Regions from separate parts of the Mus musculus genome. Here all the other regions are reported to be linked to region 1. The links are microRNA targets in miRTarBase. Many come from high-throughput screens and were not tested one by one. Region 1 holds a microRNA gene; each other region holds the end of a gene's coding sequence. Distances are from middle to middle.

What was found. The annotated mature microRNA mmu-miR-466a-3p reads UAUACAUACACGCACACAUAAGA and lies in region 1 at 2,245-2,267, opposite strand. An mRNA with a match to its seed (bases 2 to 7 or 8) in the 3' UTR can be bound and repressed. Matches are read on the target gene's strand: a 7mer-m8 pairs with bases 2 to 8, a 7mer-A1 pairs with bases 2 to 7 and ends in A, and an 8mer does both.
Region 2: miRTarBase lists Nln as a target of mmu-miR-466a-3p. Seed matches in the 3' UTR shown: 7mer-m8 at 1,086-1,092.
Region 3: the mRNA of Camsap2 is a reported target of mmu-miR-466a-3p. Seed matches in the 3' UTR shown: 7mer-m8 at 2,394-2,400, 8mer at 2,243-2,250 and 7mer-A1 at 2,103-2,109.
Region 4: miRTarBase lists Rai1 as a target of mmu-miR-466a-3p. Seed matches in the 3' UTR shown: 7mer-A1 at 1,150-1,156 and 8mer at 1,449-1,456.
Region 5: the mRNA of Septin3 is a reported target of mmu-miR-466a-3p. The part of its 3' UTR that is shown has no 7-base or 8-base seed match.
Region 6: miRTarBase lists Bub1 as a target of mmu-miR-466a-3p. Seed matches in the 3' UTR shown: 7mer-m8 at 3,617-3,623.
Region 7: miRTarBase lists Loxl3 as a target of mmu-miR-466a-3p. Seed matches in the 3' UTR shown: 7mer-m8 at 2,048-2,054, 8mer at 2,052-2,059, 8mer at 2,090-2,097, 8mer at 2,122-2,129 and 8mer at 2,128-2,135.

Annotation. Positions count from the first base shown.
Region 1 is chr2:10,474,879-10,478,946 of GRCm38, reverse strand. It overlaps Mir466b-8 (microRNA 466b-8), which reads right to left and starts at 2,319; the gene lies at 2,234-2,319. The region is part of intron 10 of Sfmbt2 (Scm-like with four mbt domains 2); the gene reads right to left. It overlaps Mir669k (microRNA 669k), which reads right to left and starts at 3,647; the gene lies at 3,521-3,647. It overlaps Mir467a-1 (microRNA 467a-1), which reads right to left and starts at 2,601; the gene lies at 2,529-2,601. It also overlaps Mir669a-1, Mir669g, Mir669j and Mir467a-2.
Region 2 is chr13:104,021,160-104,025,227 of GRCm38, reverse strand. It overlaps Nln (neurolysin (metallopeptidase M3 family)), which reads left to right. Exons shown (of 13, transcript NM_029447.2): 13 at 148-1,789. The coding sequence ends at 282. Among named protein-coding and RNA genes, the nearest start is that of Gm30967, 15 kb to the left of the region's middle.
Region 3 is chr1:136,267,105-136,271,172 of GRCm38, forward strand. It overlaps Camsap2 (calmodulin regulated spectrin-associated protein family, member 2), which reads right to left. Exons shown (of 18, transcript NM_001347109.1): 18 at 1,019-4,043. The coding sequence ends at 3,738. Among named protein-coding and RNA genes, the nearest start is that of Gpr25, 8.2 kb to the left of the region's middle.
Region 4 is chr11:60,197,539-60,201,606 of GRCm38, forward strand. It overlaps Rai1 (retinoic acid induced 1), which reads left to right. Exons shown (of 6, transcript NM_009021.2): 5 at 251-300; 6 at 493-1,657. The coding sequence ends at 507. It overlaps Srebf1 (sterol regulatory element binding transcription factor 1), which reads right to left. Exons shown (of 19, transcript NM_011480.4): 15 at 4,042-4,068; 16 at 3,708-3,873; 17 at 3,097-3,297; 18 at 2,888-2,999; 19 at 1,546-2,613. The coding sequence ends at 2,384. Mir6921 (microRNA 6921) reads right to left here and starts at 3,079; the gene lies at 3,000-3,079.
Region 5 is chr15:82,290,711-82,294,778 of GRCm38, reverse strand. It overlaps Septin3 (septin 3), which reads right to left. Exons shown (of 12, transcript NM_001368785.1): 11 at 3,948-4,041; 12 at 205-3,526. The coding sequence ends at 3,473. Among named protein-coding and RNA genes, the nearest start is that of Wbp2nl, 6.2 kb to the left of the region's middle.
Region 6 is chr2:127,797,539-127,801,606 of GRCm38, forward strand. Bub1 (BUB1, mitotic checkpoint serine/threonine kinase) reads right to left here. Exons shown (of 25, transcript NM_009772.2): 25 at 2,662-3,900. The coding sequence ends at 3,705. Among named protein-coding and RNA genes, the nearest start is that of Mtln, 7.1 kb to the left of the region's middle.
Region 7 is chr6:83,050,319-83,054,386 of GRCm38, forward strand. It overlaps Loxl3 (lysyl oxidase-like 3), which reads left to right. Exons shown (of 14, transcript NM_013586.5): 12 at 1-126; 13 at 240-351; 14 at 482-2,248. The coding sequence ends at 555. It overlaps Htra2 (HtrA serine peptidase 2), which reads right to left. Exons shown (of 8, transcript NM_019752.3): 1 at 3,603-4,068; 2 at 3,295-3,499; 3 at 3,011-3,205; 4 at 2,720-2,752; 5 at 2,380-2,485; 6 at 2,155-2,224; 7 at 1,424-1,519; 8 at 948-1,316. The coding sequence ends at 1,151. Among named protein-coding and RNA genes, the nearest start is that of Aup1, 2.2 kb to the right of the region's middle.

The DNA of each region.
Region 1 (4,068 bases):
TAACCTCCAAAGCAGTAGGTCACATATCATTCAAATGGATCCGTGAGTGCCATTCCCGCATGTCTGTGTGCATGTGTGTGTAGGTGTGTGTATGTATATGCATAAAATATACACGCATATACATGCAGGCACTTACGCACACAGGCACATACATAGGGGCCATCACATTATTCCAGGATGATCTCTAACTGCTCATGAAGTTAAGCATAAAATTGAACTCCTGATCTTCCTGACACTGCCAATTGTTTACACCTGGTGAGAGAGAATATTCACTGTCCCTCTACTTTATAATCAGCAAAATTCTAAGACATATATCATTCAAATGGATCAATGAGTGTCATTCTTATGTGTGTGAGTGTGCATGCCTGTATGTGTGAATACATTTGTATGTGTGTGTATTTACAGGGATGATCATATATACACATGTACGTGCACACACAATTATATGCAAATGTACATAACTAGGGTCGATCCCACAAATCCAGGGTGATCTCTAACTCATCATGAAGTTAAGCATGAATTTGACCTCCTGAGACTCCTAACTCTGGCAAACAGTTTTCATTTGATAAGTGAGATTTTTCCCTATACCATGAATATAAACTCAATGAAACTCTAAGCACGTATAAATCAAATGGATGACTGCCATGTGTGTTTGTGTGCACATGTATGTGTCCCTAGTTGTGTGTGTGTGTATATATATATATATGTATGTATATATATATATATATATATATATATATGCATGTTCATATACGTGCATGTACAGGCATACTTCCCTATACACATAAACACAAACACAGGGAAAATCTCATGAATTCCGGGCTGATCTCTAACTCATCAAAAAGTTAAACATGAATTTGAACTGCTCATCCTCATGATGCTGGCAAGAGTATTCACCTCCTAACTGAGTCATAGCTCGGGCCATTCGTGGGAGTATGTTTGCATGTGAGTATATGCATATTCATATACAAAAGTGAATATGTACACAACTATACACACATGCACATTCTTGGTGGACATCACATGAATCGCATGCTGAACTCTAACTCATCATGAAGTTAAACATGATTTTGAACTCCTCATCCTCCTGACACTGGCAAGAGTGCTCACCTCCTAACTGAGACATAGCTCTGGCCATTCCTATGAATGTGTGTGCATGTGTGTATATGCATATTCATATAGAGAAGTGAATATGCACACAACTATACACACATGCACATTTTTGGTGGGCATAAGATGAATCCCATGCTGGTCATGAACTCATCATGAAATTCAGCACGAATTTGAACTCCTGATCCAACTGACTCTGTCAAGGGATTTCACCTGCTGAGTGAGACCTCTCCCCATTCAGTACTGAGGAATCTTAAAACTCTAAGTCACACGTCATTCAAATGGATCGATGAGTTGCACTGATGTTTGTGTGTGTGTTTCTGTTTGTGTCTGTGTACATGTATATATTTGTGTAGATAGGTACATCCATATACTCAAATCCACACACAATAGAAACAGATACAGATAGGGATACATAGGGGGCATCACATGAATCCCAGGCATATCTCTAAGTCATCATGTAGTAAAGCATGCATTTGAACTCCTGATCCACAATCTTTCACACCTGGTGAGTAAAACCATTCACTGTCCCACTACTGCATAATCTTGAAAACTTTAAGTCACATATCATTCAAACGTATAAATGAATGCAATTTTTCCTGTGTGTGTGTGCTTGCAGATACACGTGTGTTTATGTTATGTATATCATGTCAACACATACAATGCACATACAAGTAAGCACACATGCACATAAATGGGTTGCATGACATTAATACCAAGATGTCTCCAAATGAAGTTAAGCATGAATTTGCAATCCTTATCCTCCTGACTTTGTCAATCTTTTACACCTGGTGAGTGAGGCCATTCAATGCCCCCTATTGCATAATCTCTAAAACTCTACATCACTTATCATTCAAAGGGATTGGCGAATGCCATTCCTGTGTCTGTGTATGTGTGCTTGCGTTTATACGTGTGTGTGTATGTTATGTATATTCAAATATAGACATGAACATGCACACACAACTATACACACATGCACATACATGGAGGAATCACAAGCTGATCTCTCATGAGGATAAGTATGAATTTGAACTCCTGATACTCTTAACTCTAGCAAGCATTTTCACTCTAAGTCACTTATCACTCAAATGGATTGATGAGTGCCATTCCCATGTGTCTGTGTGCTCATATGTGTCTTATGTGTGCGTGTATGTATATGTATATCATATTCACATATGTACATGTACACACACATCAACACATACACACATACATAGGGGCAATCACATGAATGCCAGGATGACCTCTAACTCATCATGCCTTTACCACGAACTTGCACTCCTGATCTTCCCGACTCTACCAAGGGTTTCCTGTGGTTTGTGAGACCTCACCCTGGCCCAGTCATACATAACCTCCAAAGCAGTAGGTCACATATCATTCAAATGGACCGTGAGGGCTATTCCCGCATGTCTGTGTGCATGTGTGTGTAGGTGTGTGTATGTATATGCATAAAATATACACGCATATACATGCAGGCACTTACGCACACAGGCACGTACATAGGGGCCATCACATTATTCCAGGATGATCTCTAACTGCTCATGAAGTTAAGCATGAAATTGAACTCCTGATCCTCCTGACACTGACAATTGTTTACACCTGGTGAGTGAGAATATTCACTGTCCCTCTACTTTATAATCAGCAAAATTTTAAGACATATATCATTCAAATGGATCAATGAGTGTCATTCTTATGTGTGTGAGTGTGCATGCCTGTGTGTGTGAATACATTTGTATGTGTGTGTATTTATATGTATGATCATATATACACATGTACGTGCACACACAATATATGGGCATGTACATACCTAGGGTCCATCCCACAAATCCAGGGTGATCTCTAATTCATCATGAAGTTAAGCATGAATTTGAACTCCTGAGACTCCTAACTCTGGCAAGCAGTTTTCATCTGATAAATGAGATGTTTCCCTATACCATGAATATACACTCAATGAAACTCTAAGCACGTATAAATCAAATGGATGACTGCCATGTGTGTTTGTGTGCACATGTATGTGTCCCTAGGTGTGTTTATATATATGCATGTTCATATACCCGCATGTACAGGCACACTTCCCTTTACACATAAACGCATACACAGGGAAAATAACATGAATTCCGGGCTGATCTCTAACTCACCAAAAAGTTAAACATGAATTTGAACTGCTCATCCTCATGATGCTGGCAAGAGTATTCACCTCCTAACTGAGTCATAGCTCGGATCATTCGTGGGAGTATGTTTGCATGTGAGTATATGCATATTTATGTACAGAAGTAAATATGTACACAACTATACACACATGCAAAATCTTGGTGGGTATCACATGAATCGCATGCTGAACTCTAACACATCAAGAAGTTAAACATGAATTTGAACTCCTCATCTTCCTAGCTCTGGCAAGAGTGCTCACCTCCTAACTGAGATATAGCTCTGGCCATTCCTATGAATGTGTTTGCATGCGTGTATATGCATATTCATATAGAGAAGTGAATATGCACACAACTATACACACATGCACATTTTTGGTGGGCATAAGATGAATCCCATGCTGGTCATGAACTCATCATGAAATTCAGCACAAATTTGAACTCCTGATCCAACTGACTCTGTCAAGGGATTTCTCCTGCTGAGTGAGACCTCTCCCCATTCAGTACTGAGGAATCTTAAAACTCTAAGTCACACGTCATTCAAATGGATCGATGAGTTGCACTGATGTTTGTGTGTGTGTTTCTGTTTGTGTCTGTGTACATGTATATATTTGTGTAGATAGGTACAGCCATATACTCAAATCCACACACAATAGAAACAGATACAGATAGGGATACATAGGGGGCATCACATGAATCCCAGGCATATCTCTAAGTCATCATGAAGTAAAGCATGAATTTGAACTCCTGATCCACAGTCTTTCACACCTGGTGAGTAAAACCATTCACTGTCCCACTACTGCATAATCTT
Region 2 (4,068 bases), not on the chromosome of region 1:
GAGCGAGCTGCTGCGTGAGCAGAACTGTCTAGACTCGAGTAGAGCTGAAGCCCCTTTCCTCGCCCTCACCTCTCTCTCCCTTGTGTCTGGGGATCTGGAGGATTGCTGGGCCCGTGAGTTATTAGGCATGATGTTTTCTTTTATTAGGTTGGAATGAAATACAGAAACCTAATCCTGAAGCCTGGGGGGTCCCTGGACGGCATGGACATGCTCCAGAATTTCTTGCAACGTGAGCCAAACCAGAAAGCATTCCTGATGAGTCGAGGCCTGAATGCTTCGTAAAGCAGGGACGCTGGGGGCTGTCCGTGGCTGGAGGACAAGCCAACACCGTCCGCCATGTGGTGCCGGCCTGGAGACTGAAGGCAGTTTTACAAAGGAAAACTTAGATTTCTATTCATTTGCTTTTGTTTCTTCATTTTAAAAATTATACAGATGTAAATGGAATTATAAATACTGTGACCTAAGAAAAGACCCACTAAAAATAATTGTACTATAAAGTTTCATAAAAACAGATTTGATTTCTTTTGATAAAAGTTTCATATGACTGTAATTTGATTTTTTTACTGTTATAATCCAGATAATATAATGTAAGAGGGCTAAGACATTTTAAATTGAATCACATACATGATATAATTTGATCTTTCTTATATCTTGAAGTTTTATACTTGAGATTCCTGGACTGATAAGTGAATCAGCATGTTCTCTCTGGTAAATATTTTCTCAGAGCCCTGTGTCAACCTTGACCCTCTGCCTCACAACTAAGTGACAGTTTGCCTGTGTGTGTCAAGGCCCGCAGGATACACTTCAATGCTGTTTGTCTTTTGTAGTGAGCTTTGTGATTCTCGGCTTCTGTCACACTTACTTACATAGCTCCACTTAGATTTGGGGTTCTTTCCCTTCTAAAATTTAATTTCTAAAGTTAATATTATTATTTAGATAATATTTTTAAATTTTGTTTCAACTGGCCTAGTATATAAGTTTTGTGTCTTGCACTAGAAGCTCAAATGTCAAGTCTTCGGTTGCAGTCACAGTGAGAGAAGCAGAGAACTTAGGCATCTTTTGGGTTCTCGACTTTTAGTATTTGCTATGTATTTGTTTCTGCTTGTTTTGCTTATATATATATATTTTTTTTATTTTGTTTGCTTGAGGCACCATCTCACCATGGAGCCAGATTCGCCTGGAACTCATGGTAATTCCCCTGCTTCGGCCTCCCAAGCCTTAGGGGCGCAGGTGTGAGCTGCCTCACTCAGCTCAGTTCTCACGTTTCTAATAAGACTCTGACCTTGCCTCCCTGAAAGTGGTAGGTCGGCCCTGTAGTCACAGTGTGTTGAAGTGCCAGGGGGAGAGATGACATCCACTGGAACTTAGCTTTGAAAACTCCAGAAAAGAGTGCGTTGGAGCAGAGCGTTTGCGAACAGCTGCTCCCAAGTGTTCCGTGGGCAACCGAGCTGTGGGAAAAGGCTGTCCAGCAGGCTGTTTCATATGGCGACTGTTAAGTGAACCTCCAGATCTCCAACTCCTTTTATTGGGACCTAAGTTTCCAGCTCAGAGTAGTGAGCTCACAGCATTATTTTAGCCTTGGGAGTCTACTCCAAACGGAAGCCAAGTAGGATAGAGAGGAGAAAATGTAAATGAGCTGTGATCGGACTTTCCACAGGGCTTTGAGTTGTTTCTCCACACATACCTGAGGAATGACTTTCCTGGCAGGAAACGAAATTAGAGCCTGTCTGTTCTTTAGACCCGGTGGACTTTGTGTTCAATAAAATATTATGTCGTGTAATAAAGTTATACAGAGTACCAAGAGCTGGTACACAGCAGGGAAGCCCTTTGTTTATGTAGTTTGATTTGATTTTTACAAGGCTGGGCATCAAACCTCCGGCTTCTTCACCCATGCTAGCAAGTGCTATGCTCTCCCAGCTGCTTTTATGGTGGTGGTAGAAACCTCTGGAAGCGTCTCACATCTGTCCCCACCCCCATTTTTGTTTCCTACTTTCAGACAAAAAAAAGGAGAAAAAGAAAGAAAAAAAAAAACTCTCTTCAGCTTTTTCTATTATTGCCCGGTTTGTCTCCTTCAAAAATAACTTCATCATAAATCTTACTTTACTTGGAAAAGCTAATAGCCAGTGTGTAAAAGACTGACTGCACACAATAAAGTGACATCATTGTCCGTGAGAATGAGCTCACAGTACTTTTGTCTTTTAATGTTAAAGGCACAGCGAATCAGCCGCGCAACCACCCCTCGTGTTGTGTTTATAGGTGGATGCCACCACCCTCTGCTTGGGCTTCTATTTGGTTGGATATTCCTGCATGTTCCATTTCCTCATAAGGAACAGGTTTGGTACCCCTGTTCCGCTGTGCTCGTCCTCTGTTCTCAAGCTTTCCACCGGCGATTTTCAGATACCCAGAGGCAGCTCTAAAGTGTTCTTCCCAAGGTACAATGTCTGCAGCGTTTGTCATCAGAGAAGCTGGATACCTAAGAAAGTTTTATAGAAAGTGCTCACTGTGCCCATCAAGGTACTTGGTGTCTCTGTTGACATACCTTTGTGCTTGAGAGATAGGACTGGATAACTTTGGCTAAGTGGATTCCTAGCTATTGAATAAAGAGGGGGAATAGCAAGTCCTTTGGCTAAAAGCAAGAAAATCCACTAAAAAATACTAACATATAAATAACAGCTGGAATAGTTATATATGAACATGTTATTAAAATTGAAAGATTCCTCTACTAAGACAAACATAAAACAAAATTAATCAAGTCCCATTGTCAGGTAGAGGCAAAACCTCACTGTGATGATGTGACTTGGCAACCAAAAGTCTTGGTGACCTTCTAGCCAAATATCAGTAGCAGTTCACTGTTTAGCACATATAGGGAGGGGCCTGTGGGAAGCACAAAGCCTTTGAAGAGGGAACTGGAAGATGTTTGTATCCAGATCGAAAGTCCCTCTGGATCCCAATATGGTTAGCTCCCATAAGGAATGGGCTACTATGACCCATCCTAAGAACTACATTTTCAGCAGGCTTGTATTAATTAGCATCACAAGTGTTTGAGAAACCAACAATATGGTGATGACTTTGGAAATAGCCCTCAAGAGGAAAGTTCGTCTGGAGAGTGAATTCTCAAGTGAATTCTCACTGTTTCAAATACTTACACACTATGGGAGAGCTGATGTCATGGCTAACGGTGTTGGAGCTTAAAGGTACAATTAGAAAATAGAAGACTTCAGTATGAGGAACAGCTCCTAACTGTTGACTGAGACGCTTTCTGCTGCTGTTTGTGAGGGTTCATAAAGAACCTGTGTCCTCCATGGGTGTTACAGACATTTCCTCCACAGGTAAGCTTTGAGGTTTCTTTCTGTAGTGGTCAGGGAGACATAACTTGGGTGACAGGTTCGTGTTCTGCATCTTAGGGCACTGAGAACCGGGGATATGGGTTACTGGATAAAATACCTGCTGGGCAAACGTGAACCCCTTCATCTACAGAAAAGCCAGGTATGGCAAGAGATGCTACTACTGTGCCAATCCCAGTGCTAGGGGGATAGCAAACAAGCCAGCTCCATGGCCAGCCTAGACAAATCCGCGAGTCCCAGTGTAGAGGACCAGTCTCAAAACATAAGAGGAAGATAACCAGTATCAGTCTCTGGCCTCTAACATGTACTTTGGCACACACAAATGCACATGAATGTGCACACACAAATAGAAAAGGCGTTGACATAGTGTAGCTTCCCTTATGCTACAACCAGACCGGTTATAGTTCGTGTCATAGTTATCTGTAGTTAGCCTGCATAACTTCAATTGGAGCTTCTCAGGCTTCCCTGGAATCTGATGTCATAGTTGACATCGATAGTCAAGTTGATTCAAGAACCCCTAGTAGATTAACCTCTAGTTGTGTCTACAAAAAAAATTTCCAGGATGGATTAAGAGAGGAAAGACCTATGTTCAGCAGCCTTGGAGTCCACGTGTAATAAAATGGAAGAGGGAAACCTGAAGAGCAGGCCTCTGCGCCCTGATGTCCACAGTGTGAGTCGCTCTGTCTCATCACACCCTCCCTTTCTCATTAGATTAGGTCTTCTG
Region 3 (4,068 bases), not on the chromosome of region 1:
AGACCACTGAGCCATCTCTCCAGTCCTTCCTATCCTTCTATAACACAAATAGAAAACACTGGTCGATGCTCATGTGCAACAGTGACACTAAGTTTTGGTATCTAAGCACAGCACTGCAATGCTGAGGTGCTTTTGAGAAGCCTAGATGCCCAAAGGTGCAAACATGAGATGATTCAAACTCCATCGATTTATACAAACCCCACAAAAACCTGATTTCTTTTTAAAAAGAAACCCTTGTTCTGAAAGCACAGCTCTGGTTTTAAGTAGCACTATTTCTATGGGATGATGGGATTTCACTCATTTCAGAATTTTTTTTCTAATTCCTGGTCATAGGCTTGAGGCTCTTTGATTCATCAGCTTTTCTTCATTATCTCTGTATAGGGGTTAGTAGTGAAGATGCTCCTGTCTGCTGTGGGGCATTTTCCTCGACCCCAGCAGCGTTCACCCGCTTATTAGCCAGGGGGAGGGAAAGCATCATAGTTTATGGATATTCCTCCCTCTGCTGATACACTCAGTTTTTAGGATCAAATGTTTTTATTTTGGAAAATTAAAATACTGGAGACTTATGGAAGTATAGTTGTACTCTGAGGACCAAGTGTCTTTTTTTGTTTATCTTTTGGTTTTTCGAGAGCTCTGCCTGCTTTCCGCCGCCTAAGTGCTGGGAGTAAGATGTGCGCCACAACCACTTGGCTGAGGACTGAGCATCTTACAAAAGAGCTCAGGCAGTGTCTGAGCGCACAGTTATGCATGAGGGTTGTTCTGGCTATCAGGATTTATTTCATGCCTTCATCCGAATAAACTGAGCACAAGTGACAGCTAGAGACTGGTACAGAACTGGCCACTGTGTAGAGGGGCTCAGAGCCACACTGAAGACGCAGTGGTACTCACACCTCACAATTCTCAACTCACTAGAGCCAGTGTGACTGTGTATAAGGAACATAAACATGTGAGAGTCATAGAGACAGATACTTCAGAGCAAAGCACAGAAACTTAACAACACCGCAATGCCACCTCAAAAGGCATTCAAGCATAATTTAATATTAAAAATTACTTAGGTAAATATTCAATTACTAAATTTAAACCTAGGCTGAGACAAGAAAACTTCATGATGTATTTTCCTGAGTCCAAATAACGTTATCAAACACAAGACAAGACAACACGCACTTTATTGAAGAATCAGCGTCAGTTGGTGCCATGCTTTTATTCAGATGAAAGGGGAACTACACTGTAACCCCCAGGAACGAGCAAGCCTGACGGATCATCTGCAGCGCTCAGGAGTGGACAGGAAGCACACTACACACTGCACATCGCCCAACAGTGTCCATGAGTCACATCAAAGAAGGAGACTCTGGCTGTGAGCAGCCAAATACAAACAATAGTCCTCCTAAACAAAACTGAGAAACTGAGAGGAAAACTTTAGAAGTTGTGGTAAGTAGCAGGAGTTGACAGGCCACACTGGTTACCATGACAAGGATTTGGCAGATTTAACTGAGTAGTTACCATGGTAATTTGACCTCCAACGATGACAACGCTTGTGTTTCAGTAAGGTGGATGGAAATCTCCAAACTTTATGGAATGGCATTTTTTCATTTGTATAATTTTAAAACATAATTTAAAAAGCTGCACCATAATAAAAAAAAATCTGCAGACTAAAGAAATATATCTGTATTCCTCTTGCATTAATAAAGTAAAATCTTATACTGAGAGCAATGAACTTTGTGGCAATATTCACATCACACCTTTAGACACTAGACATTCCGCTCAGTTGCTGGATGTACAGATGGAAGAACGAAGACAGGCGAGGTCAGTGTTCATTAGTTCTCTCAATGTCCTGCACCTGACTTTTCTTTATTCAGTACTCAGGTGACAGCCATGAGGCTGCTTTGATAGGGAAAAGACCTTGGTTAGTAGTAGAAAATGCTTATTAAATTCCTTTGTCTATAATTCACTTTGTTTTGATTAAGTTTGTTTATAACTCTTAAACTAATCTTATCGTAAGGATGTCTTTGTTTGCCCATTTCCTTCTAATTGTGATAAAAATTGGTGTCTGAAAGGTAAAATGTGAAATTCCCCGTTTTTAATATTTATATATACACAGTATGTATACATTTAAAATATAAGAGTTACATATCCTGGTCTCTCACATGCAAGCAGTAGATCACAAATAGTCTTGAGCTACACATACATTTTGCACAGGTATTGGAAAAAAATCTGTGAAAAATTTTTTTACAGTTTTAACAAATATACATAAATATAAGAACATAAATTACAGTAAAATATTGACAGCATTTGAGAAAATGTTGAAAACCCAGATGCACTGATCCCTAAAGGCTTTATAATAGAAAAGTACAGCTGAGGGACTTCCCATTCCATTCTTCTTTTTAAATAAGTAAATACATAACATGAGACATGAGTTCCCTCTCTAAACAACTTAATTAGAGAAATGTACATATTTCATCTCTATATCCCATGAAAGAAAACAAACTACTCTCTCACTTATAAACAATGTCTTCCCCACTAGTGTACACAGTTGTCACAACACTGAAACATAAAAGGGCCACACAATCAATCATTCAAGTCTTTTCCTGAGAATGAAGTTTCCCCCCAACTTACTCTGGTATGCTTGCTAAAGAAGAAAGATCATGGAGAGGAGATTTCAAGTGTGCCCTGAATCTAAGCTGTTCCACTGGAAAAGGATTCAAAGGAAAGAAAACCCAGTATAAGTAAAATAACAGGAAGCTACTTTCAAATCAAAATGTAGCCCTTTGTGCATGTTTAAAAATCCTAAATATAATTTCCCTATCGGTTATAAATATAAAGGCCTCCTGAGCTGCCAGGAAGCTGTATGCTTTCATACAGAAAGGCAGCACTCACGTGTCACTCACTCACTTCTGCCACCTTATACAGTGACGCACTTTAAATGCAATACAAAGTGCTCTGTTGTTAAAAGTACAATCTGATTTGTTCTGAGTTGGCAGAAGTGGTGTAGAGACAACCAGCACTGATTTCATCAGCAGCCTCTTACAGGATGTGCTGGGTTAGCTTGTGTGGTCTGCAGGGGACCCAGCAGCAGCTTTTAAACACCTCCTTACTAATAGAGAAATGTTAATACTTGTGTGAATAATAAATACAGAATGTAAATACTTAGAAGGATTCTTGCAAATACTGTAACACCATCAGAACACGAGGGCTACTGTAAAACTAATACTAGTGTCTCTCTTACCATCATATGAAAGGTGCAAGGTACTTTTCAACAGGAACTTTCTACTTTCATGATCTCCACATAAAACAAACACAAAGGCAGCTTAGAATAACCCCAGGAGAGGGAACAGAACGACGACAACAACAACGAAACCATTTGACGATGTGCACACACAGTACAGGGGTAAAAAGAATACATCACATAATTGCCATCTAGCCACACCTCAAGCCTATGTCCCGCTGTGTCCATGAGAATTCAGTGCTGCACGGTCTCTAACACAGGCAGGTGAGCCTGCTAGCATGCAAATCTCCGCCTGTGAATCAAAGCATTTCCTTCATCGCGTGGACTTATCACCTAGTAAGAACCGTCGGCATTCCAAACACTGTGATTACATTCCAGTTGTTCACAACAACAGAGTTAAGGTCCAGTTTTAATTGATAAAAATCTTGTTGGCAATTAGAAAGGTTTTTCTATAGGCAGGAAAGACGAAGTACAAATTTACCACAAAGGTTCTGAAGCGAGCATCTCCTGCTGCCTATGCTTTAGTGGGTAAGAGTTTTTTTGGGGTTACTGGTCTCTTGGTCTGCCATAAGTGGCTATGAATGGTAATCGCATCCACGCTAGCAGATAAAGTTTTAGCAGGTATGTGGCTAAACTGTTTTCTGTCAGAATTGTACTTGTAAAGTCCCTCAATCATCTTTTTAGTGATAGATTTAGGACCTATCCCAGTCAGTTTATTGATTTCTTCAGTTTCTGGGCAGTAAGTATACAAAGACCTGAACTGGCAGCCTGAATCCCGGAACAAGATTAAGAAGTTGTTGGCATCTGACTTCTCCATTTCCTTTAGAACAGAAAACAAAAACAAG
Region 4 (4,068 bases), not on the chromosome of region 1:
GTGTTCCTTCTCCTTTGGGGAGACCTGGGTAGGAGGGAGATGGCCAGGTAGTGGTGGCCAGGGTGGGGGTGGGGCAGGGGGGGTGTCTAGGAGTGGAGGCCAGGAAGGGACATAGCAGGGTAGAGGCAGAGGGGCTGCACCTCTGGGGGGATTTGGACTAATGAGGGTTCTGAGCAAGACCAGGGCATCAGAACTAACACTGGCAGCCAGCCGGCTCTGCATCACCACAGAAACTTTTCTTTGCTCACAGGTTGCACGTTCATTGAGGAGAATTTTACTTTGAAGTGCCCCAAACATAAGGTAGGTGAGCAGGCTCCCCAGAGAAAGCATTCCCTACCTAACCCAGTTTCTCCCTGCCCTGCCAGAGAGTAGGGAGGGGTGCAGGCTGGGTCCTAAAGTTACTTTGCCAGTCTAGGGTGATTGCACAGTTCTTGTGGAAGGACAGGGGTGGCAGCGGCTGGTGATAACAGTAACGGGCTGTCCCTCCCACAGAGGCTGCCGTTGTAATCCCCGTGTGGCCGAAACTCCGAGGAAGAAGAGCTGCGCCCACAGCCGGTCCTTGATCCCATCCAGGGTCTAGGTTCCGGCTGCCTTGGGCGCTGGCGTGAGGCCTAGGTTGCGAAGAAAACCGGGGCCAGGCTTGGCGAAGGCAGGCCAGGGAGTGGCCAGACCCAGGGCACAATGTCTCAGGCGGGGGGCAAGTCCCCTGCAAGTTCTGAAAAAGACGTGGCATGCAAGCTGTGCCCCTGGGAAGAGGCTAGGCTGCTGGCTCAGTGGACGACGTGGGGCAGACCCAAGCCTTTCTTAGAGGCCCAGCGGCGGGGGACATGGCTCAGCACTTGGCATGGATCTGCCCAAGATCGTGGCAGCCTGGGCTCAGGCCAGTCTATCCTTGATGCGGGCTGGCCTGGGGTGGCGCCCTATGGCTTCTGTTTGTCCCCTTTCCAGTCTTCCACCCCACTGTTGGAGCCCCGTCTGGAAGCCTGAGGAGACTGGGCCTGGCTACCCTCTAGCAGATGTGCAGCTGTCCCAGACAAAACACCAACATGGGATTCAGGGACTGCCACTCAGCTCACTCGGCTCATAGGCGGAGACAGTGCTAGATTCGTGTACAAACCTGTGTACCCCTCTATATATATGTTACATAGAATGTATATATGTTGGGAACATGCTCGCTTCTGTGTGTCGCTGCTGTGCGTCGTGTGCTCCACAGCACAGAGCCCTAACCTGGCCTTGGCTGGGGTCGGGGCCAAAGTGATGCCCCTTCCCCGAGCAACTACCACCATCACCACCACCACGGCCAGCCCCCACCTGTCCGTTTGTGTCCTCAGCTCTGTCCACGCTTTAATAGGCCTGATGCAGCCCCTTCTCCCTGCAACGTTCTGTACATATGACTGTAAAATGGTAAACGTGTGTATTATATCTGGCCTCGTTATATAGTGTATATATATGTATACATATACATATATATAATATATATGAAGACTGTAAATGTTAAGACAACTAGTGTTCTTATTAGTATATTGCTTCACACTGAAGATTGTGTGTATCGAGCTGTTTCTAAAAGATGTTTATTTTCCTTAAGAGTTAAAAAAAAAAAAAACAGTCATTGCATTCAGAAAAAAAAAAGTCAATAAAGATACCACGATTGTTTTGGAAGTGTGCGGCCTGTGGATGCCGACCAGATTCCCTAAGGGGTTGGGAGTAGAGGGAAGGGGCCGGGGGACACAAACAGGGTTCCCAGTCTACTCACTAATGGGCCCTGATCCTTCGCCTATGCTGGTGCACAGAGATGACTAGGGAACTGTGTGTGTTTCTGGATATACGGGGTTATTACCTGGTGGAGGGCTGGAAGGCAAAGGAACAACTGAGACCATCAAGGCCCCTCAAGGGTTATGAGCCATGAGATCAGAGGGCCAAGGTGGCTCAACATAGCATCACCAAGCCAGCAAATACACCTTACAACAGATGGGAAGTCCGGCTTCCCAAAGGACAAGCCAGGAAAGATAGCAATCAGCTGAGGCAGACATCTGCCTACCCAGATAAACAAAACTGAAGTTATAAATAATTTCATTTTTTAATATTCTGTACAAAATTTCTCAACCTATGAAAATAAAGTTTGCAAAAGTCAAAGTAGTACATGGGCCTGCCCTGGAGCCAGGCCCAGCCGGATCTACACTATGTACAGGTCTCCCAGGGTGAGCCTCAGCTAGGGAAAAGCCACTAAGGTGCCTACAGAGCAAGAGGGTGCCATCGGGCCAGTGCAGCCTCTGCAATTTCCAGATCTGCCACTAGAGGTCGGCATGGTCCTGATTGCTTGTCAGGCTCACCCTCTGGAAGACCACAGCCAATGACAAAGGTCCTCAAGGGAAAGCTTTGGGGTCTAGCTGGAAGTGACGGTGGTTCCGCCGCCCAGGCGCAGGAGCATCTGCTGGCAGTCCAGCAGTAGCCGGTGATCGCCAAGCTTCTCTACGGTGCGTGCCGCCTCGGCCAGCATGCTCATTCGCTGCCCAGGAGCCGACAGGAAGGCAGGGGGCAGATAGCAGGATGCCAACAGCAGGGCCTCGGTGTGCTCCCGCCATGTGGGCCGTGGCTCCAGCTCAGCTGTAGTGCCTGCACAGATCACATCAAAGGGAGGGAGGCTTAGGTCTGGCCGAGCCCACACCCCATGTGCAGGACAAAGTAGCTGAGCTCTTCCACGTGGAACTCCCAGTCTGGCTGCTTTCTCCACTTGGGCTGGGCACACAGGGGGGCTCAGCTTCTTTCCTATGACTGCCTCAAAAACTGTCATCCCCGCTGATTTCTGTAAGTCAGCTCTCAGTATGTCTCACTAGACCAAGACGGCCCCTGACCCTCACCAGCCCTGTAAGCACAGCCACCTCCTCACCTCCTTTGCCACTGGAACCTGCCCTCCTCCTCAGACTGCGATCCAGGAGCTGGTGTGTCCGGGCAGGACTTGCTCCTGCCATCAGCCGAGCTGTGGCCTCATGTAGGAATACCTGAGAGGCAAGGAGTAGTCACCCGTTTCAGATTTACTGTCCCCCCACTCCCGGCTTCCTACCTCATGCCCCTCAGTGTGAGAACAGTGGGACTCACCCTCCTCATAGCAGGCCGGAAGCTCTGTGCCAACCGCCGCAGGCTGCTCAGGTCATGTTGGAAACCACGCAGCTCCAGAGCAGAGGCCTGGGGTCCATTGCTGGTACCGTGAGCTACCTGGACTGAAGCTGGTGACTGCTGCCGCTGCCACAGACTGGTACGGGCCACAAGAAGTAGATCACACAGGAGCAGCTGCATGGCCTGGGATAGCAGGCAGGGCAGAGGGAGGAGTTTCCCTATGGACATCAAGCTTTCCCTAGCTGAGGGCCACCCTGTCTCAAGGCAGCGTCAGTAAGGGCAGGAAGTCCACAGCACTGGGGCCTGACTCCAGGTTGCATCACTGAAGCACTGCATCTGCCTCAACACATGCACCGCCTCCTGCTACAAGCCCGCAGTCTTCCCAACAATGGCTCCCAACAGGAACCCTGCCAGTCTGCTCCCCACACCCTCCTTCCTGGTGGTGGCGAAACAGTAAAGCCCCCTCTCCCCAAGACTTAAGCCGTCGTTAAAACTGAGGTAAATCCATTTAGCATTATTCTGTACTAACACCAAGAACCTGGAAATGGACAGCTGTGACCCTGGCCTAGACAGGAACCCACCCTACCCCTCACCTTGTCAATGGAACTGCCAGTTGGTGTAGAGGCTAAGCTGTCCCGCAGGTACCCACTGGCCTTCTCACAGATGGCCAGGCTGGCTGGGCTAGATTCCACCTTTCTGTGGTCCAGCAGAGCCCGGGCAGCCTTGAAGGAGTACAGAGCTGCCCTGGGCAGGGGTCTCCTGTTGGGGCCATGGCAGACATAGGAAGTTAGACCAAACTACAGCCCTCCCTGAGATCTCCCGCCACGGTTCTAGACTCCTGGGAGGACAGCACTGTCCTCCTGTACAGATATTTAAGCAAAGTACTGCGGGGCTGACTGGGCGGGAGGGACCTGGCTGGGGACTCACTCAGTGTCCTGCAGCACCTGGGGGATA
Region 5 (4,068 bases), not on the chromosome of region 1:
AGAGTTACAAAATTCCAGGAAATGACTGGGATATAGCCTCACATTACCCAAAAAATGAATAGATGCCACATGTTCAATATCTAATATCTGTAGCTACTTCTTGCCTTGCCAGGAGGGTCCCTGGCTCACACGCAGTGAGATGATGTCATTCACGGCTGATTTTATCAAGGAGCAAGAAACACGAATAAGACAAAGACCAGGCCATTATTGTTCAAACAGTAATGTTTAGTTGTACAACAGAGGCTAGCAACATCTACATGACCAGTCTGAGTGTCTGTTTGGCTTGTTTTCAATTGGGAAACTAAACTGGAATATCACCAAAAACGTCGGCTGGGACTAACAACGTTTTTAAAATGGGCCATTCTTGCATCCCCGAGGCTTGGGCCTCTTGTTCCTTCAGGACTTGTAGATGAATGGCCCACAAGTCACCAGCCTTTGAGCAAGTTGTGTCCAGGTGGAGATGGCAGGTGGGGTGGCTGAGGGAGGGTTCTAGAAAGACACAGTGTATGGGGCAGTGGCAGCCGTTCGTTCGCAAACATTCATGCATCTGATGGGGGCTTTGCCCTCCATTTGGGTATTTTCCATTAGCCTATAGCGACCACCTGTGGTCAGGCTAATGCATTGCTCACATTAACAGGGTGGGGGATGGGAGTAGGAATAGTCAGGGGAGGTGGGAAGAGATCCCTCTTATTGCTAAATGTATAAAAGGGTGCTATTTTTCTTCCTAGAGTGTATAGCTGGTGGGTTTGGGGTAGTCCATATGTGTGTTAAATTCCCTTTCTTTTAAAGTTTGGGGATAATTAAGTCAACTCCAGCAACCTCTTTTCAGCAAAACCCACTTCCCAGATGGCCATATTTTGGGGTAAACAGGTTGTCTACACACATACTCACTGGGCCAGCCACCAGTGGTGATTTTTTTTTTTAAGTGACACTAGCCTCTGGCTCCCCACCATGTATAATGAATCACCCTTATAAAATACCTTTAAGCAATGAAGGAGACACCCTTGTCCCACACAGGGGCTCACACGGCTGACCTCAGTGACTCTGACAAGCAGGAAAGTTGCTTTCTTGACCGGTTAAGGTAGCCAAGAAAGTACTCATGCAGAATGAATGGCTAGAGAGCAATGCCGGTTCCCTTGGAGACAGTTACAAGTCGCTGGTATGCGCTTGCAAGGGCAGGAGCAGCTTCCCATGAGTTCCTCCTCCCTACACAAGGACTGGGGTGCTGCTGACACAGATGATGGAGCAGGGTGGTGCTGGCAGGAACTCCATTCCATTGGGAGGAGAGGAGTAGTTTGGCTAAACAGAGGAAGCAACTGTCCTAAAGCCGCAGCTAGCCCCTCCCACCTACTGAGGGCTGAGAGGGGCTGTGCTGGTGGGCTAGACAAGCACAGCGCTAAAAGGGGCGTGGCCCTGCAGCAATAACAGCTGGGAGGGATGAGGGAGAAGCAGCACTTGAAATGGCCTTCATTCAGCAGTGGGGCAGGGGGTGGCTGGTACAGGTGGAAGGACAGTGCCCAGGAGGCCTTCTCCCTGCAGGGGGAGTTGAGAACGGTTGAGGGTGTGGAGACCGGCAGCCGGCAGCAGACACATAAAACAGCTTCTCCAGGGAGAGTGAGACCACAGCTTAGTGGAGACAGGCAGCATTCTCCTACTTAGACTCTCCAACACCCACCATTCTTATCCCTTGCTGGCCCTAGGTGCCCAATCCCATGTCACCATACAGGGCAGCTCACTAGAGCTGTCAGCGAGCTCTATGTTGCTACCACTCTAGCCTGACAGCTGGCCACTCTTTAGTGACGTTATAGATGAGGACTAGAGACAGAGCAGTCTCCAGGAAAGGCTAAGACCATAGGATTAGGACCACTTCTGCTTGGTCCACTGAATTGTGGGTCTTCCATCTCTTTTTGTTTTTTGTTTGTCTGTGTGTTTGTTTTCCTAGTGACTGGGTAATAAAGGGCTGAAGTCAGTGAAGACCAGTTCTACACCCAGGCTGGACCGGGAGGTGGCATAGTGGATAGATCAGTTCTAAACAGAATTTTGTGGTATCTTCCCTTTCCTATGGCTAAATGGCTTTCCTTAAAGCAGCCTTAGAAACTGTAGGGAAAAAAAAAAAACTTGAATGTGCAAGGAGCAGTTAAAGTATGCATTAATAAATACAAGGCTCCTGAGAAGGCAAGAGAAGGCTAAATGTATGGCTGTGGGTATTCCTGGGAACATCTACAGGATTGGATGGTGAGAGAATGCAGGGAGGGGAGAAGCCGAGAAAGACAGACAGACAAATGAGAACAGAGAAAGAGTGAGTTGGGTTTGTAAGAAACAAAGCCACAGAGAAGCCAGCTTAACATGGACAGAAGGCTGCTAGAAAACGGGAAACTGTGTTAGTTTGTCTCACAAGTCCAGCCGCCTAAGAAACTCTGTATATTTTTTCCGATTCTTCAGAATTAGTTTGTGAATATAATTTCCTCCACCTAAAGTTTGCCTCATTTGCCCAATAGATGTGCTTCTTGAACAGAACACCCAGAGCAGCCCAAGCTACCAAATTCTCCCATTTCCCCAGGCTATTCCCAAGTCAGAGCAAATTTCAGTGGTCAGCTGCAGAAACTGGCTTTCCTAGTCATCTTCTCTATAACTGAATTCTCTTGCAATCTCGGCATGCCCTGCCCCATGCTTTTACTTAGGATCTTATTCTTTTAAGGGTTTTTTTTTTTTTTATCTTATGCGTATGAGTGCTTGTCTATGTGTATGTATGTACACCATGCTCATAGAGGCTAAAAGAGGGTGTCAGGTCCTCTGGAACTGGAGTCACAGATAACTGTAAGCTACCAAGAAGGTGCTGGGAACTGAACCTGGGTCCTCTGCAAGAGCAAAAGGTCCCCCGAAGCACAGAGCCATCTCTTCAGCCCCTAGCTGTGATTCTATCTTAGGGTAATAGAAAGTCAATTTAGAAAGTCTGGGCATGATTTCTAAATATAGAAAGGAAGCTAACATAGATGACTCTAAAAGGAGATAAAAGGTCAGAGACAGGCAGGAAATGGGGTGAATGCATGAATATATATGAAGAAAGGAGGCAAAGGACGCTGGGGAGGGAGAAGAGAAATCAGGACGAGGAAGCAACCAACCAGCCTGGAAATACAGGGAAGGCGGGCACAGAAAGCAGTGGTTTGCAGCGGTGATGATCCGCTGTTTGACAGTGACCCCAACATAGACACAAGGGTGGAGCTCCATTTTCAGACACCAATTCTGCAGGAGCCCCTCAGCTTTCTTCTCTGCTCCCCACGAATCTTCTGTTTCCCCAAGAAGTCCTAGCCTTCCTCCAGATTACCTCAACTTACAGTGAAAAGTTGTTCTGAGCTCCCACAGCCCACCACAGGCTAGCTCAGCCACCAGTCCATGAAGAATACTTGCAGCCCCAGTTTGTGGGTGGGTCAGAAGTAAGAAAGAGTTGCCTGTGGCTCACCTGCTCCCAGCATTATAAATTAAAACCTTCCCCAGACCTCTTGAGTGAGGCGCACAGCTTTTTGTTCTGGAGCACAAGAAAAAAGGAGACAGAATGGAGAGTCATGGAGAAAGCAGACTTACAAAGGACTTTCCAAAGAGGGCAATGAAAATACCTCACCCCTGAGTACACGCATACATACACACACATGCATACACACACACAGGCACTCTCCATCACACACACATACACGCAGGCACTCTCCATCACACACATACACACATACATACACACACACACACACACACACACACACACACACACACACACACTAGACAAAATACTGCACAAATACCAGACAGGCCTGGGGGACAGAGCTGAGAGGAGGTGGTGGCTGGAGGTGGTATCTAGGATGTGTGTGTGTTTGGAGAAGGGGGATATGTATGATAACACAGAGAAGGGCTCATCACGGGTTACTGTCGTGGCTTTCCTCTGTGTCCACGCTCACCGGAGGGAGGCCTCCATTGTCATTGAGCCTCTTGGCCCTGTAAGTCTCATAGTGGATGTTGTGTGTTACTTCTTTGAGGTCCTGGAGGTGAGTCCTGAAGGGACACAGAGTAAAAAAAGAG
Region 6 (4,068 bases), 120 Mb from region 1:
TAGCCAGAGCAATTCGACAACAAAAGGAGATCAAGGGGATACAAATTGGAAAAGAGGAAGTCAAAATATCACTTTTTGCAGATGATATGATAGTATATATAAGTGACCCTAAAAATTCCAACAGAGAACTCCTAAACCTGATAAACAGCTTCGGTGAAGTAGCTGGATATAAAATTAACTCAAACAAGTCAATGGCCTTTCTCTACACAAAGAATAAACAGGCTGAGAAAGAAATTAGGGAAACAACACCCTTCTCAATAGCCACAAATAATATAAAATATCTCGGCGTGACTCTAACGAAGGAAGTGAAAGATCTGTATGATAAAAACTTCAAGTCCCTGAAGAAAGAAATTAAAGAAGATCTCAGAAGATGGAAAGATCTCCCATGCTCATGGATTGGCAGGACCAACATTGTAAAAATGGCTATCTTGCCAAAAGCAATCTACAGATTCAATGCAATCCCCATTAAAATTCCAACTCAATTCTTCAACGAATTAGAAGGAGCAATTTGCAAATTCATCTGGAATAACAAAAAACCGAGGATAGCCAAAACTCTTCTCAAGGATAAAAGAACCTCTGGTGGAATCACCATGCCTGACCTAAAGCTTTACTACAGAGCAATTGTGATAAAAACTGCATGGTACTGGTATAGAGACAGACAAGTGGACCAATGGAATAGAATTGAAGACCCAGAAATGAACCCACACACCTATGGTCACTTGATCTTCGACAAGGGAGCCAAAACCATCCAGTGGAAGAAAGACAGCATTTTCAACAATTGGTGCTGGCACAACTGGTTGTTATCATGTAGAAGAATGCGAATCGATCCATACTTATCTCCTTGTACTAAGGTCAAATCTAAGTGGATCAAGGAACTTCACATAAAACCAGAGACACTGAAACTTATAGAGGAGAAAGTGGGGAAAAGCCTTGAAGATATGGGCACAGGGGAAAAATTCCTGAACAGAACAGCAATGGCTTGTACTGTAAGATCGAGAATTGACAAATGGGACCTAATGAAACTCCAAAGTTTCTGCAAGGCAAAAGACACTGTCTATAAGACAAAAAGACCACCAACAGACTGGGAAAGGATCTTTACATATCCTAAATCAGATAGGGGACTAATATCCAACATATATAAAGAACTTAAGAAGGTGGACCTCAGAAAATCAAATAACCCCCTTAAAAAATGGGGCTCAGAACTGAACAAAGAATTCTCACCTGAGGAATACCGAATGGCAGAGAAGCACCTGAAAAAATGTTCAACATCCTTAATCATCAGGGAAATGCAAATCAAAACAACCCTGAGATTCCACCTCACACCAGTGAGAATGGCTAAGATCAAAAATTCAGGTGACAGCAGATGCTGGCGAGGATGTGGAGAAAGAGGAACACTCCTCCATTGTTGGTGGGATTGCAGGCTTGTACAACCACTCTGGAAATCAGTCTGGCGGTTCCTCAGAAAATTGGACATAGTACTACCGGAGGATCCAGCAATACCTCTCCTGGGCATATATCCAGAAGAAGCCCCAACTGGTAAGAAGGACACATGCTCCACTATGTTCATAGCAGCCTTATTTATAATAGCCAGAAACTGGAAAGAACCCAGATGCCCCTCAACAGAGGAATGGATACAGAAAATGTGGTACATCTACACAATGGAGTACTACTCAGCTATTAAAAAGAATGAATTTATGAAATTCCTAGCCAAATGGATGGACCTGGAGAGCATCATCCTGAGTGAGGTAACACAATCACAAAGGAACTCACACAATATGTACTCACTGATAAGTGGATACTAGCCCAAAACCTAGGATACCCACGATATAAGATACAATTTCCTAAACACATGAAACTCAAGAAAAATGAAGACTGAAGTGTGGACACTATGCCCCTCCTTAGAAGTGGGAACAAAACACCCATGGAAGGAGTTACAGAAACAAAGTATGGAGCTGAGATGAAAGGATGGACCATGTAGAGACTGCCATATCCAGGTATCCAGGGATCCACCCCATAATCAGCTTCCAAATGCTGACACCATTGCATACACTAGCAAGATTTTACTGAAAGGACCCAGATGTAGCTGTCTCTTGTGAGACTAAGCCGGGGCCTAGCAAACACAGAAGTGGATGCTCACAGTCAGCTAATGGATGGATCACAGGGCTCCCAATGGAGGAGCTAGAGAAAGTACCCAAGGAGCTAAAGGGATCTTCAACCCTATAGGTGGAACAACATTATGAACTAACCAGTACCCCTGAGCTCTTGACTCTAGCTGCATATGTATCAAAAGATGGCCTAGTCGGCCATCACTGGAAAGAGAGGCCCATTGGACACGCAGACTTTGTGTGCCCCGGTACAGGGGAACGCCAGGGCCAAAGGGGGGGAGTGGGTGGGTAGGGGAGTGGGGGTGGGTGGGTAAGGGGGACTTTTGGTATAGCATTGGAAATGTAAATGAGCTAAATACCTAATAAAAAATGGAAAAAAAAAAAACAAAAAAAAAAAAAACAAAAAAAATAAAAAATAAAAAAATAAAAAAGAGAGCAGGGGAGGGGCGTGGCATTCATTATACTTAGCCATGAGATAAATACCAACCCAAGCTACTTTTTCTTACCCTTATCAGAACATGTCTCTAACATGAGACAAAAATGTCAGTGTGCATTTGAGTAAACAGAAATTCTTTATTCATTGTTAGTTGAAATGCGACCTAGTATGGTCATTGTGGAAATCAGTATGGTGGTCTCACAACAAGAACAAAACAACACACACACACACACACACACAAACCCCCAGAAAACTAGAACTGTTTATGAACTAGCTTCCTACTCCAGGGCACACAAAGGATTCTATCTTTTACAAGAGAAACCTGCACATCCATGTCAATTGTTCCTCTATTCACAATAGCAAAGAAATGGAATCAGCCCAGATGTTTATCAATCAACTGATGGTTGTATAATGACAATGTGGAATCATACACAATAAAATTCTTTTCAGATGTACACCATGAAATTTGTATAAAAATACATGGGGTTAGAAAGTAAAGACCTTAAGGGAAAAAGATGTTAAGAAAGGAGGAGGGGACATTGACAGATGAGACATGGAAGTGGAAAGTAAGCTATGGGGTGTGAAAGAGAACAAAGGGGGTCAAAAGTATGGGGAAGAAAAATAAACATTTTTTTTTCTTAAAATGCCATAAGGAAACCTAATCCTACATACGCTAACTAAACATAATTTATAACTCTTTTTATGGCTTACTTTTAACTTAAATAGGTCAGTGTTTAGAAAGGTGATTTCTAGCAGGGCATGGTGGTTACTCCCGTAACCCCAGCACTTGGGAGGCAGAGGCGGGTGGTTCTCTATGAGCTCGAGGCCAGCCTGGTCTACAGCCAAGTCCAGGACAGCCAGGGCTCTGGTTATACTGAGAAATTGTCTTGGAGTTGGGGGCAGGGAGGTAACTTCTATAAAGCATCTAAATTTGAATCATTCTCAAGAAGATTTGTATACTAAGAGCAACCCAATAGATCAGCCTGCTTACAGGGGTCTCCTTACTTTGTTTGTTAGAGTATTTAGAACAACTAGGTCACATGGGTATATCATATGGGCTTTATTTTTTTTAAACATACATAAATAGTAAGTATGAAAAAAATAGGATTCAAAGTGAGAGTTTAAATTTACTAAGTGTGTTTTGGAGAAGGTCCATATTCATTTTATTTTCTTGAACGCTTATATTCTGAAAGCATCACAATTAGCCTATTACGCAAGGTCTTAATCTTGTTGGAATACTGTTGTTCAAGTAATTTCTTCATATTCTGTCTCAGAAAATCCAAAGATGGAAGATTATGACAATCCGGTATATTCAACATGATGTGAAAAAATTCCTCCCACATATCCAAATGAGGAAGCCTAATAAAGAGACAAAATATTACAATGGATAAAATGCAACCTTAACGTTCATAGCAACGAGTTCCTCCATCTACTTTGTATAGGTGTGGACATGTTAAAAAAACAACTGTCATCTACCTGTATCTTAGCAAATCAAGAATCCATCACAAACAGGAGAAATTAAAAATC
Region 7 (4,068 bases), not on the chromosome of region 1:
AGGTATGAGTGCGCCAACTTTGGAGAGCAGGGCATCACCGTGGGATGTTGGGATCTCTACAGGCATGACATTGACTGTCAGTGGATCGACATCACAGATGTGAAGCCAGGAAACTACATTCTTCAGGTGCCTAGCATCTGCCTGAGCTTTCAGATGCTGGGGTTTGGGGTGAGTGATGAGGACACCTGTGACCTGTCGGAGTGCTGCTGGGTCACACCAGCTTTCTTCCTCACTCACAGGTCGTTATCAACCCAAATTTTGAGGTAGCAGAAAGTGACTTCACCAACAATGCAATGAAGTGTAACTGCAAATACGACGGGCATCGCATCTGGGTGCACAACTGCCACATCGGTAGGTAACAGATGAGATGGGTGAATGCAGGGCAGGAGGGAAAGGCTTCCATGCTGTCACTGCCCATGATGGGTGTGTGCTCTTGCCTCTGTGCAGGGACAGCCCCTCACAGTGCCTGTCTATTCTGCAGGTGATGCCTTCAGCGAAGAAGCCAACAGGAGGTTTGAGCGCTACCCTGGCCAGACTAGTAACCAGATCGTCTAAAATGCTACCACCCTCTCTGTAAACCACCACTGGCCCCCAATGGCAGGGGTCTGAGGCTGCCATTACCTCAGGAGCTTACCACAAGAACCCCTGATGTCAGCAGGCGCCCTACACTCAACCACCTGTGCACTACAGGCAACAAACTGTCAAACAGAAGTTGGTGCCTCCTTTACGGGGTCAGCTGTCATTACCTTTGGCCAACAAGCATGGAGAATCAGCCAACAGCCCCAGCAACAGACAGAACACACCACAAAGAACTGCCCCACACAGGATGGCAGCAGCTCATTCTCTTGAATAGGGGAGGTCAAGAGGGTCAGCTCCCATCGCTCTCCGTTCTCCTAAGGACCGCGTTACCTCTAGCCATTTGGTGGGGGAGAAGATCCAACCCCCACTTTTGACTGTAACATGTTGCTAGGTATAATTTTATTTTATATAAAATGTGTTCTTCGGAGCCCAGGACTGATGCAGCGGTTAGAGGGACTTGCCCTCCGCAGGTTCACTGACTCCTCCTCTACCCACATGCACTCAGAACCTAGGCTAGGAAAGCAAGGAGGAGATCAGGGCAAGAGCTTCACACTCTTGCCGGTCCAGTCATTCATTCTGTGACCTCGGGGGTCACATATAAGGTCAGTGTCTCTGATCCGCGCCGGATCCGCACTGCCAGCTGTGATTGGGTTCGAACAGCTTCATAAACATCTTCAGCATTTTGTGCCAATTTCTCCCCAATGGCCAAGATCACATCACCAGGCCGCAGACCAGCCCTGTGGAGGATGGACGGGGCAAGGAGAGAATAGACAGAGAAGTTCAAGGATACATCCACCCATCCCATCCCACCCAACCCCCCCCCCCAGAGCACGCTCCCCATCACCTGTGTGCGGGGGAGCCCAGGATAACTTTATGAATGAGGACACCATGCTGAACATCAGGGAAGCTTGGCTCACGGAGCTGTAGTTCAATAAGGATGCTGAAAGGGCACAGACACTATTAGCTCCACACAGGCCCTCTCCCATCTTAATAGTTCACCTTCTGCCTTCTAGAGCTTAGGAAGTGGGATATACACATAAAAGATAGCTAATTTCGAAAGATACATGGTGTTGATCAACTTCACTTCTGTCATCCTGAAGGGTTAGAACTTAAGCTGAGCCTAGAAGGGTGGGTCCTACCACCTTACGAAATAAGGTATTGAGACATAGAAGTGGAAAATGAAAGTAGTTCCGAAGAAACGGCAAGCTGTCTGGAAGGATAACGAGATGGGTGGGAATGGGCGGGAATGGGCCTCCAGTGCTAGGTCAATGTTGGCTTTACATCACAGCAATAGCAGGATGTACTCAATCTACTGAAAGATCCAGATGCAGTGGGATGAGAAAGTTATGAGAGGGAACAGTGCTTGTGACAGAAGACAACAGCTTATCTTAGGAAAAAACAGACATGAGAGAAAACCCAAGAAAAGGATAGGGTGTGTGTATGGTGTGTGTGTAGGGGTGTGTGTGTGTATGTATGTATAGGTGTATATATATATACATATATATAGATATATGTATATATCACCACACTAACATACATATATATGTATATGTATATATCACCACACTAACATACCTGGGAGTCAGGGTCAGCATCATCACTCCAATGTAGCGGCGCTGGGACCCACTGGTTCCAAACCAGGAATCTGTAATAAAAGAGGACAAATGAACCGCCCCCCAGCTACATTCTTTCCCTTACTTTCTACCAGCACACCCCTCTATACCAAGCCCCAGTGAATGCCCTCCCCTAAGTCCCATCCTCCATTTTAAAGGAACCCCTTTCCCTGTAAGACAGGCTCACTTTTCTTTTCCCCGCGATGCAGAAACTCCCTAAGGCGATCAGAAGGGATGGCAAAGGAGATTCCAGCTGTCACCTTCATGGTGTTCACTCCAATCACCTCCCCATCCTGCAGGGACACAGCCCCCTGTCCCCTAGCCCACACAGATGGCAGAGGATGGGGGCACCTGAACAAGAGTAGCAAGGATTTGGGGACAGAAGTCTGTCTGTCTGTCTGTCTGTCTGTATACCAGGAGAGGAACAAGAGACTAGAGACTTAGCTAAAATTCCCTAAATCAGAGGAAAACCCACACTTCCCACACTAACCTGGGGCATGGATTCTTAGAAGAACACGGACACTCACCAGGTTAACCAGGGGACCACCAGAATTTCCAAACTGTGAGATAAAATGAAAGAAAACATCAAAAAGATCTGGAATCCCATGCTCTGGGAATTCTAAGACCGAGGACATAAACAGGGTGTAGGGAAATTTTTCAAATTCCATTCCTAGCACATGAACTAGAGAGGCTGCCTTTTGCAGCCCAACCTCTGATACAGGCCCAGTCACCACCACGTGTCAGTTGGTGCTCATACCCAACAGCTGTTCTCCCCAATTCCAACCTTAGCACCTAATTTCCCTCATATCAGGACGCACATCAATAGCTGCATCGGTCTGAATGTATTCCACGTTGTTTTGAGGGAGTCCCAGGTCCCTGGCTGGGCGCTGAGCAGAGCTGACAATACCAGATGTGATCGTGTTCTGCAGTGCAAAGGGGCTTCCCATGGCAACAACAAACTCCCCTTGCCGGACATCAGCAGAGCGGCCGAGGGGCAGTGTGGGAAGAGGCTCCTTAAGGGAAACAAGGCCAGCAAAACTGGTCATTTTAAGAAGGGAGCAAGAGAACAGCTGCCATCAGATCTGGCCTACTCCATCCCCACCTTGGTTTGAATCCTCAGTGTGGCAATGTCTGCTACGGGATCCACAGCTGTGACCATGGCCTCATAAGTATCCCCGCTAGGCAGCCTCACTCGTACTCGGCGCCGATCAGCCACCACGTGGGCGTTGGTAACGATGAGCCCATCTGAAGCCACTACGAATCCTGATCCGTTTGAGATGGGGACTTCACGGCCGGAGAAAGGGTGCCTGGGATGGGGAAAGTACCCATTACACTGCAGCTTCCACCTCATCCTGCTCCCTTGCCTTCACTAACGGCAGTTCAACACCTCCTGGTCAACTTCACCATTACCGGTCTAGGATCTCGATATAGACCACAGCAGGGGCTGTCTTCTCCACCACATCTGCGATGAAATTGTACTGGCTCCGGGGAGAAGTGGGTGGCGGAGCAGGAACAGCAGCCAGCACCGTGGAAAGACCCCGACCCCAACCCCACAACAGCAGCACCACTGCACCTCCTGCGCCCACCGCCACCGCCAGCCATTCGCGCCGACGGCTTCCAGGGCTCCTGCGGGCCTCCTGGTCACTGGAGCCTGAAGTCCCCACATTCAATCGTGCCCAGAGATCCGGGGTCCTAGACGTCAGATCTGCCCGTGATGCAAGGAACCCCTCAGGCACCTGGGCCGGGAGACTGGGGGTCCCATAAGTCATCCAGATCTGAGAGTCAGGAGTTCCTGACGTCAGCAGAGCCCGGAGGTCAGGAGCTAACAGGGGAGGCTTCCTCCAGAAGATGCCCCCCAAAGCCCGCCATGCCCGAA